Linked DNA regions of Danio rerio. The protein of the gene in region 1 purifies or fractionates together with the protein of each later gene. This does not show direct contact. Links are inferred from orthologs where the notes say so. Each region holds a gene or a part of one and is shown in the gene's direction. Other genes may lie near its edges. The genes, in order: card11 and malt1.

Region 1 (3,830 bases):
TCCTCTTCCCACCAGTCTGAGATAATGGATTCGTATGATCTGGAGCAAGTCAATAACATCTTCAGGAAATTCTCGTTGGAGAGGTTTTTTTTATGTTTTATTATTTTAGTTATAATCTTAGAGTACTTTTATAATGGTTCTTTGAGCACTTCACTTTTTGCTATCCTTAAGAGGGAAGGAATATCAGTTTCTGTCATCTCAGTTTATCCAGACTCCACAATATCACTCCTTTGATTTTTTTTTTCTTCTTCTCTAGACCTTTTCGTCCTTCATTGACCTCAGGCCCTCCACGAAACTCATTGCGAACGGTTCAGAGCCTTTCTCTCTCTGGAGAAAACCTTTTGTCTGAAATCACTCTGATTGGTGGAAATGATAGTGGCATCTTCGTGAACTCTGTCCAGTCTGGCTCTGATGCAGATCTGGCTGGAGTTAAAGTCGGATTTCATCTTTTAATGGTGAGATTTACTAGAAATCCTGTTTGTGTTTGCAACCAAAACACCTATTGAGGTAGTAGAAGTAGAATTAACCTTTTGGTTTAATTTGTCCTCTAGCTGGAGGGAAATGTTCATGGAAAAGCAGAGAGTGTGTCTTTAGACACCAGCACTAAAGAAGAAGCCCACTGGACCCTGCAGAGATGTTCTGGACAAGTGCATCTTCATTACAAATCCAGCTATGACAGTGAGTCTTAAATAACTCTTAAATAGAAGATTTTAAAAAGATTTATTTGCAGATAGGGGAGGTTAGAGGAGTTGAATACTTTGAAACAGTCCTGGTAGGAGCCAAATAATGCATTCAGACTCCAAAGAAACATGAGGCTTTGGTCTTTTTGGCTTATGGCTCTATCTGAATCAAATGTGCTGCTCTGTTTGGTATGAACACAAACTGTTTATCCATCACACACCATGATATTTAGATGAAATCTATTTTAGTTTTTCTCAAATGTTATTTAATTATTTGTGAAATTCAGATTTTTATGGTTAAATGATTTATGATTCAGTTTTTTTTCTTCCTTGTAATCCAAAAGCACATCCAGAAATTATAAAACATTAAATTTAAGAACAACCCATTAAGAGTTTACCAAGATGTGCATTTTAATAACTGTTTTACATTTATTTCTAAATAATCTGAAAAAAACTAACTAACTAACTAACTAACTAACCAACCAACCAACCAACCAACCAACCAACCAACCAACCAACCAACCAACCAACCAACCAACCAACCAACCAACCAACCAACCAACCAACCAACCAACCAACCAACCAACCAACCAACCAACTAACTAACTAACAAAAACTAAACCAGAATTTAACTGTGATGGTCTGTTATGAAGATGCTGTGATTTCTGTGTATATGATTAAACAATAATCTCACATAACAGAGCAAAGTAGTGGTGAAGTACCTCTCAAATCAGCTGCTTAAACAAAGTGCATGTGCTCAAATAGTAAGACAGCATAAGTTGAGACAGCATGAGTCTCACACATGCTCTAGTTTGCATGTATTAAACTAAACTGCAAGTAGTAAACAAATACATTCAAACATTATATTTAGCCTTTTAACTGTAACCCCAATTGTTGAGTTCACTCTTAAAAATTGCAACACAGGCTCATTGGGAGTATGTGCCCAGGACTGCATATTTGAGAACTGCAAAATATGTGCATGGGCCTACGTATGGTTGCGTTTTGTATGTAAAACAAAAAGTAGATGGTTGAATGACACTTCTGAAAAATTCTGTTGCTTTTTGCACTATACCGCTGTCCGCTTGCCTCTTTATTTTTCGGCGTGACCGCTTTGCCACATAAGGCGTCAGCCTCGAGTCCCGTTAAGAATGGTTACAGGTAAAAAGAAAAAAAAAGTGACAATAATGTGAAATAGTGGTAAAAGCATGCGTTTGTGATGGCTTTTCTCTTCTAGTTTTCTTTAAAAAAAACAAACGGTTGCGTTTAGGGAAGGGGAAGGTGGGAGGTTTAGTTGATTGCAAGCTGATACACACACAACAGGCCTACTGGCTTCTTTTTACAGACGGTCATGAGCAGGACGTTGAGATATGCACCAATGTACACAGCGGCCTCTGGTGGATGAGAAAATTTGCCCCGGCAAAGTATTTAAGATTGTGAAATATGTACCTGGCGGCCTCTAGTGGATTAATGAAAAATGGTGTGTTTGAGAAAACGTGCACAAGTAACGTATTTGTACACTTGTATAACGTCAAATATGTACACTGCAACCTCTTGTGATTTTGTGAAGACAAAAACCTTAAGCATATATTGCCTCGGGCACATATTTCACAGTTCTTAAATATGTAACCCTGGCCACGTATCTCCAATGAGCCTGGGTTGGAAAATGATGTACGACGCACATTATATATAGTTTGTCATGATAAGTATAGGTTGCTTTGCTTTGACCCTCCGCTTTCTCGTTTCCAGGCTACAGGCGGCTGGTGAAGGATATTGAAGACGGCACAGTGGTATCTGGAGACTCCTTCTACATACGTCTCAATCTGAACATCTCCAGCCAGTCTGATAACTGCTCGCTGAATGTCAGATGTGACGAGGTTCTCCATGTTCTGGACACCATGCATCAAGACAAATGCGAATGGCTGTGTGCCCGTGTCGACCCTTTCACAGACAAGGACCTGGACAAAGGCACCATACCGAGTTACTCAAGGTGAGGAAGAAATGAGTGACCATTATTGTGTCGGTTTTCAAACCAAGTGTGAACACTGGTCTATTGCCTGCTGCAGATTGCCTGTCAGTGTGTTGGTGAGCGCGTGGGTGTGCATTTTTTTATGTCTGTTGACTGTGACGAGAAGCTGTTAAGTGAACTTAGCTGTCACCTCCTCCCCAGAGCCCAGCAGCTCCTCTTGGTGAAGATTCAGAAGCTGATGTGTCGAGGAGGCCGAGAAGATGTCGACACTCTGAGAGTGATCCGGGTCAGTTCCTTATGGATTGTTGGGGAAATGCATCTTGTTTTGGGTTTCACATTCATAGATAAGGGTAAACTGATTCTGCACAAACTGAAAGGCAATTACAGGGACAGTAACTTATAGACTTATACTCTTTGGTAACTTATAGAACCTAGAAAGTCTGTCATAATTTACTTATTTTGATGACTTTAGTTCTTTGGCAGAAACTCACTGTTTTATTCTTTTTATCCTATAATGACAAAATGACTTTAATTTATTCTGTTTGTTTTATGCATCTGCTGCATGGAAAACTAAGAGTGACCCTTCAAAAATAAATTGAAGAAGCAGTTTATCAGTTTAGTAATTAATACATACACTTTATACAAATAAATCATCTTTAAATGGACAATTCATGTTTTAAATGTTAATTAATTAAACAATACAAAGTATTAGGATCTCTTTCACATGGTCAGTCTCTTTAAAATGATAGTTTGTCTACAAATTACAAACTGCTATAAATTTACCCACCAATTGGACTTTCAAAATGTAGGGTTTTCTTCAACAGAATGTTGAAGAATCATTTTTGATCGTTGGCGATTCATACAATGCAAGTCAATGACTGCTAGCCGTTGAGGGTGCAGGTGAGTTGTCAGTTTTCGAGAGACGCTCAAATACATGCCGTGCGCTGTGTGTGCAATGTCTATAAGTCATGTTAAACAATAAATTGCTAACTGAAATATTCATACATTTTCTTTTCGGCTAAGTCCCTTTATTAATATGGGGTCGCCAAAGCGGAATGACCTGCCAACTTATACAGCACATGTTTTACGCAGCAGATGCCCTTCCAGCTGCAACCCATTTCTGGGAAACATTTATACACACTCATTCACACTCCGGACACTTATACACTAACGGACAATTTAGC
Region 2 (4,548 bases), on another chromosome or scaffold:
GAGTCTGAGGTGTCCAAACTCGTGCTATCTAGCCATGCAACCACCTGTCCACTCGATCCCATTCCCTCTCATCTCTTGCAAGCCATCTCTCCTGCAGTCATACCAACACTGACTCACATAATTAACACATCTCTTGACTCTGGTTTATTCCCCACTTCATTTAAGCAGGCTAGGGTAACCCCACTGCTAAAGAAACCCAACCTGGACCATACGCTACTTGAAAACTACAGACCAGTATCCCTGCTTCCATTCATGGCCAAGATTCTGGAGAAAGTAGTGTTCAATCAAGTCCTCTTACTCAAAACAATCTCATGGACAACAAGCAATCCGGCTTAAAGAAAGGCCACTCAACTGAGACTGCCCTGCTCTCGGTCGTGGAGAATCTCACACTGGCTAAAGCAGACTCTAAATCATCAGTCCTCATTTTGCTGGATTTGTCAGCTGCTTTTGACACTGTCAACCACCAGATCCTGCTATCTACGCTCGAGTCACTGGGCGTTGCGGGCACTGTTATACAATGGTTCAGATCTTACCTCTCTGACAGGTCATTCAGGGTGTCTTGGAGGGGAGAGGTGTCCAACCTACAGCATCTAAACACTGGGGTACCTCAAGGCTCTGTTCTTGGGCCACTTCTTGATTTAATTTTAATTTAAAATTTAACAGCAAATGAATATATATATATATATATATATATATATATATATATATATATATATATATATATATATATATATATATATATATATATATGTGTATATATATATATGTATGTATATATATATATATATATATATATATATATATATATATATATATATATATATATATATATATATATATATATATATATATATATCTGATTTTATTCAGTGGATGTTTTCATCCCGAACAATCCCGAACATAACAAAAGGCAAAAGGAAAGTAAATTTGCCCAGAGTGTATCTTTGAGTTTTTTTGTTTTAAATTTTAATTATTTTCACAAAATATAGTATATTTCAAAATAAGATTTGCCACCAAAAAACATTCTGCTAGCTGAAACAGACAAAGTTATGGCCAAATTAATACTTGAAATCTCCTCAGAGTGGATGAAAACATCCCCAACAGCACACACAGTAAGGGTTATTGCAGAAAATATACATACATATGTAGTCTTTAAGTAAAAATGTTAAAAGATGAGCAGATATGAATTAATATTAATTCCATTCAATATATTAATTAATGCTTTTCTCATTGTTTCTAGCCTACATCTCTTTTTCTGGTACAATGAAGAGAGGTTTCCCTTGTAAACTGGCATCCATGAATGTGTATTTTCCTCACACAATAACGAAATAAAGTTCATAAAAAAACCATCATCCTTTAAAGATAAATAAACAACCCCAAATCACATGTTTGTGAAGAGCGAGTTTGACTGAAACACTTCCGTTTAAGCACTGCGAGCTGCTCAGGAGTAGTGTACTCATGATGAGATGAACACCTTCCCCTTTGTCAGACACCAGGAAGTGATGCGAACACACACACACACACACACACACACACACACACACACACACACACACACACACGTACTTTTGGATTTCCCCGCATCAGTCGGATTCATGTATCGTTTAATAATGGGATACATGACAACACATAATCCGTGTACGGTATGTCAATGTTTATACTGCGTGTTTTTCAAGCCTTCTGTTTTGTGTTTGGTGAATTCCGATATGTTGTTTGGCTACTTTTGAAACATGAACGTTTAGTCCAGTTCATACATTTCATAATCTTAAAATCTAACTTAGAAGTGCTAAATACTTTATTAAACAATAATTTTTTACCAATATTCGCTTGCTGACTAGACAAAGCGCGATGGAAAAAGTGAAATTAGCGATTGTACAAGTTGTTGACGTACCAAAGGATGACAATACTGCTTTGTTTTTCGTCTTCATTTTTAAAGTCGTCTTGCCGTTCACACTCGTCTTACTTTACTTCTTCTGTGGATCATAAAGGAAAATATTAAGTCTTCTTTCACTTTTAGATGATTCTGAATACTTTGGATGACATTTCATTCATTTGAATTGTTCACGGAAATAAATTAAGGAACTGGAACAACATGAAGGAGCAAATTATTACAGGGATTTAATTTTGAAGAAAATGTCTTTGATATGATCTCTAATCTGAATTTAAAGATATTAAACTAGTGTGTCTAATGTAGACAGGTGTATACACTTACCGGCCACTTTATTAGGTACACCCGTCCAACTGATCGCTAACGCAAATTTCTAATCAGCCAATCGCATGGCAGCAATTCAATGCATTTAGGCATGTAGACATGGTCAAGACGATCTGCTGCAGTTCGAACCGAGCATCAGAATGAGGAAGAAGGGTGATTTAAGTGATTTTGATGGTGGCATGGTTTTTGGTGCCAGAACGGCTGATCTGAGTATTTCAGAAACTGCTGATCAACTGGGATTTTCATGCACAACCATCTCCAGGGTTTACAGAGAATGGTCCGAAAAAGAGAAAATATCCAGTTTGTGGCAGTTCTGTGGTCACAAGTGCCTTGTTGATGCCAGAGGTCAGGGGAGAACGGCCAGACTGGTTCCAGCTGATAGAAAGGCAACAGTAGCTCAAACAACCACTCGTTACAACCGAGGTCTGCAGAAGAGCATCTCTGAACGCACAACATGACTAACCTTGAGGCGGATGGGCTACAGCAGCAGAAGACCACACCGGGTGCCGCTCCTGTCAGCTAAGAACAGGAAACTGAGGCTACAATTCACACAGGCGCACCAAAATTGAACAATTGGAGAAATGTTGCCTGGTCTGAAGATTGTCAATTTCAGCTGCCACATTCGGATGATCGGGTCAGAATTTGGCATCAACAACATGAAAGTATGATTCCATCCTGCCTTGAATCAGTGAATTAGGCTGGTGGTGGTGGTTTGATGGTGTGGGGGATATTTACTTGGCACACTGTGGGCCCATTAGGACCAATTGAGCATCGTGTCAACACCACAGCCTACCTGAGCATTGTTGCTGATCATGTCCATCCCTTTATGACCAAAGTGTACTCATATTCTGATGGCTACTTCCAGCAGGATAATGCACCATTTTTTTTTGTCAGGCATAATTAGATCAAGGGTTATTTGATGGTGACATTTTGTAATACTTTTAATACAATTTAGTATGATCACTCATCATTTTATATATCTTGAGAAGTGCAGGTCAGAATAAATAGTTAATTCGCTTTTGTAAATCACTTTTGTAAATGCCACAACAGTTGATATCTCATTTATTACATTTATAATACAAATATTTTCAGAATATTCATGTATTTTAATATGTTATATATTCATATTCTAGTGGTGTTAAATAAATATTCTTATATTTCTTATATGATGTATACACTGCTAATAATGTCATGTTGATTTTCCGTTTGGCAGGTGCTTTGCTGACTACTTAAGCAGTTCAGCAGGTCAAACCAATCACAGCGGTGCATCTGCCTTATTCTCAAACATGTCGGAATCGAATGAAAGCTCTTTGAACATAAATTTCTTGAAAGAATCTGTATTAAAAAGGCTCTGTGAGTCTCTTGATAAAGCCAACAATAAAGGATGGCGAAAACTGGGGGAGATTGTGAAAAATGACAAGCGGTTTAAAGTGAGGTAACAGCTCTATTGTTCTCTCTTCACTTTACCTCCTAATGTAATATCCACTTTGAAACTTACATTTCGTAATGCTTTCTGAATTCACTCATATGCACAGTCTCGAAGACATGGACATGTGTTCTCTGAAGGCTTTGAAGGCAGATGGTAGTCCTTCCCGAACTCTTCTCAAACTCATCGGAGATCAGGGCTGTATCCAGGAAGAACTGATGGAGTTTCTACAGATCATGGGTCACACAGAGGCCCTGCAGTGTCTTAAACCTCCAGGTACAGTTACCTTAATAGTGTAAACATAGTAGGCAGAGTTTTTATGTTGTGCAATGCTGTATTACATTATCTTTTGTCTTGCTTATCCAAATTTACATGTCGCAATTCCGTGTTAGATCTAGCGATTCAGAGATAGATCATGCAATTCTGAGTTTTGATCTTGCGATTCTGAGATAAGATCTTGTCGTTCCGAGTTTAGATCTTATGATTCTAAGATTACATGTTGAGATTCCAAGTTTTATCTTGCGATTCTGAGATTAGATCTCGCTATTATAAGTTTTACATGTTGCAGTTCTAAGTCAAGATCTTGAGACTTTGAGTTTAGGTCTTGCTATTTCTAGTTGAATCTTGCAATTCCGAGATTAAATCTTGCTGTTCCGAATTTAGATCTCACCACTTCGAGATTGGATCTTGTGATTCCAAGTTATATCTAGGAATTCTGAGTTGAGGTTTTGCAATTTGCGGTTTAAGATCTTGCCGTTTCGAGTCTAGGTCTTGTGAGTTCGATATTACATTTTGCCATTCCGAGATTAGATTTTACAATTCCGAGTTTAGATTTTGCTATTCCAAGTTTAGATCTTGTGAGTCTGAGATTGCATATTGAGATCCCGAGTTAGATCTTGCAATTCCAAGT

What was found.
Region 2: the proteins of card11 (region 1) and malt1 purify together in Homo sapiens (affinity purification with western blotting; 6 studies listed by BioGRID and IntAct, with this or other methods). This does not show direct contact. The link is inferred for Danio rerio from reciprocal best matches to the Homo sapiens genes CARD11 and MALT1.

What each region holds. Positions count from the first base shown.
Region 1 is NC_133178.1:40,618,957-40,622,786, forward strand, and holds part of card11 (caspase recruitment domain-containing protein 11), read left to right. Parts: coding exon 1-83; intron 84-256; coding exon 257-455; intron 456-551; coding exon 552-678; intron 679-2,426; coding exon 2,427-2,667; intron 2,668-2,847; coding exon 2,848-2,932; intron 2,933-3,830. UniProt on the Homo sapiens protein: Adapter protein that plays a key role in adaptive immune response by transducing the activation of NF-kappa-B downstream of T-cell receptor (TCR) and B-cell receptor (BCR) engagement.
Region 2 is NC_133180.1:72,224,459-72,229,006, forward strand, and holds the start of malt1 (mucosa-associated lymphoid tissue lymphoma translocation protein 1), read left to right. Parts: upstream 1-1,558; 5' UTR 1,559-1,643; intron 1,644-3,425; 5' UTR 3,426-3,498; coding exon 3,499-3,647; intron 3,648-3,747; coding exon 3,748-3,914; intron 3,915-4,548. UniProt on the Homo sapiens protein: Protease that enhances BCL10-induced activation: acts via formation of CBM complexes that channel adaptive and innate immune signaling downstream of CARD domain-containing proteins (CARD9, CARD11 and CARD14) to activate NF-kappa-B and MAP kinase p38 pathways which stimulate expression of genes encoding pro-inflammatory cytokines and chemokines.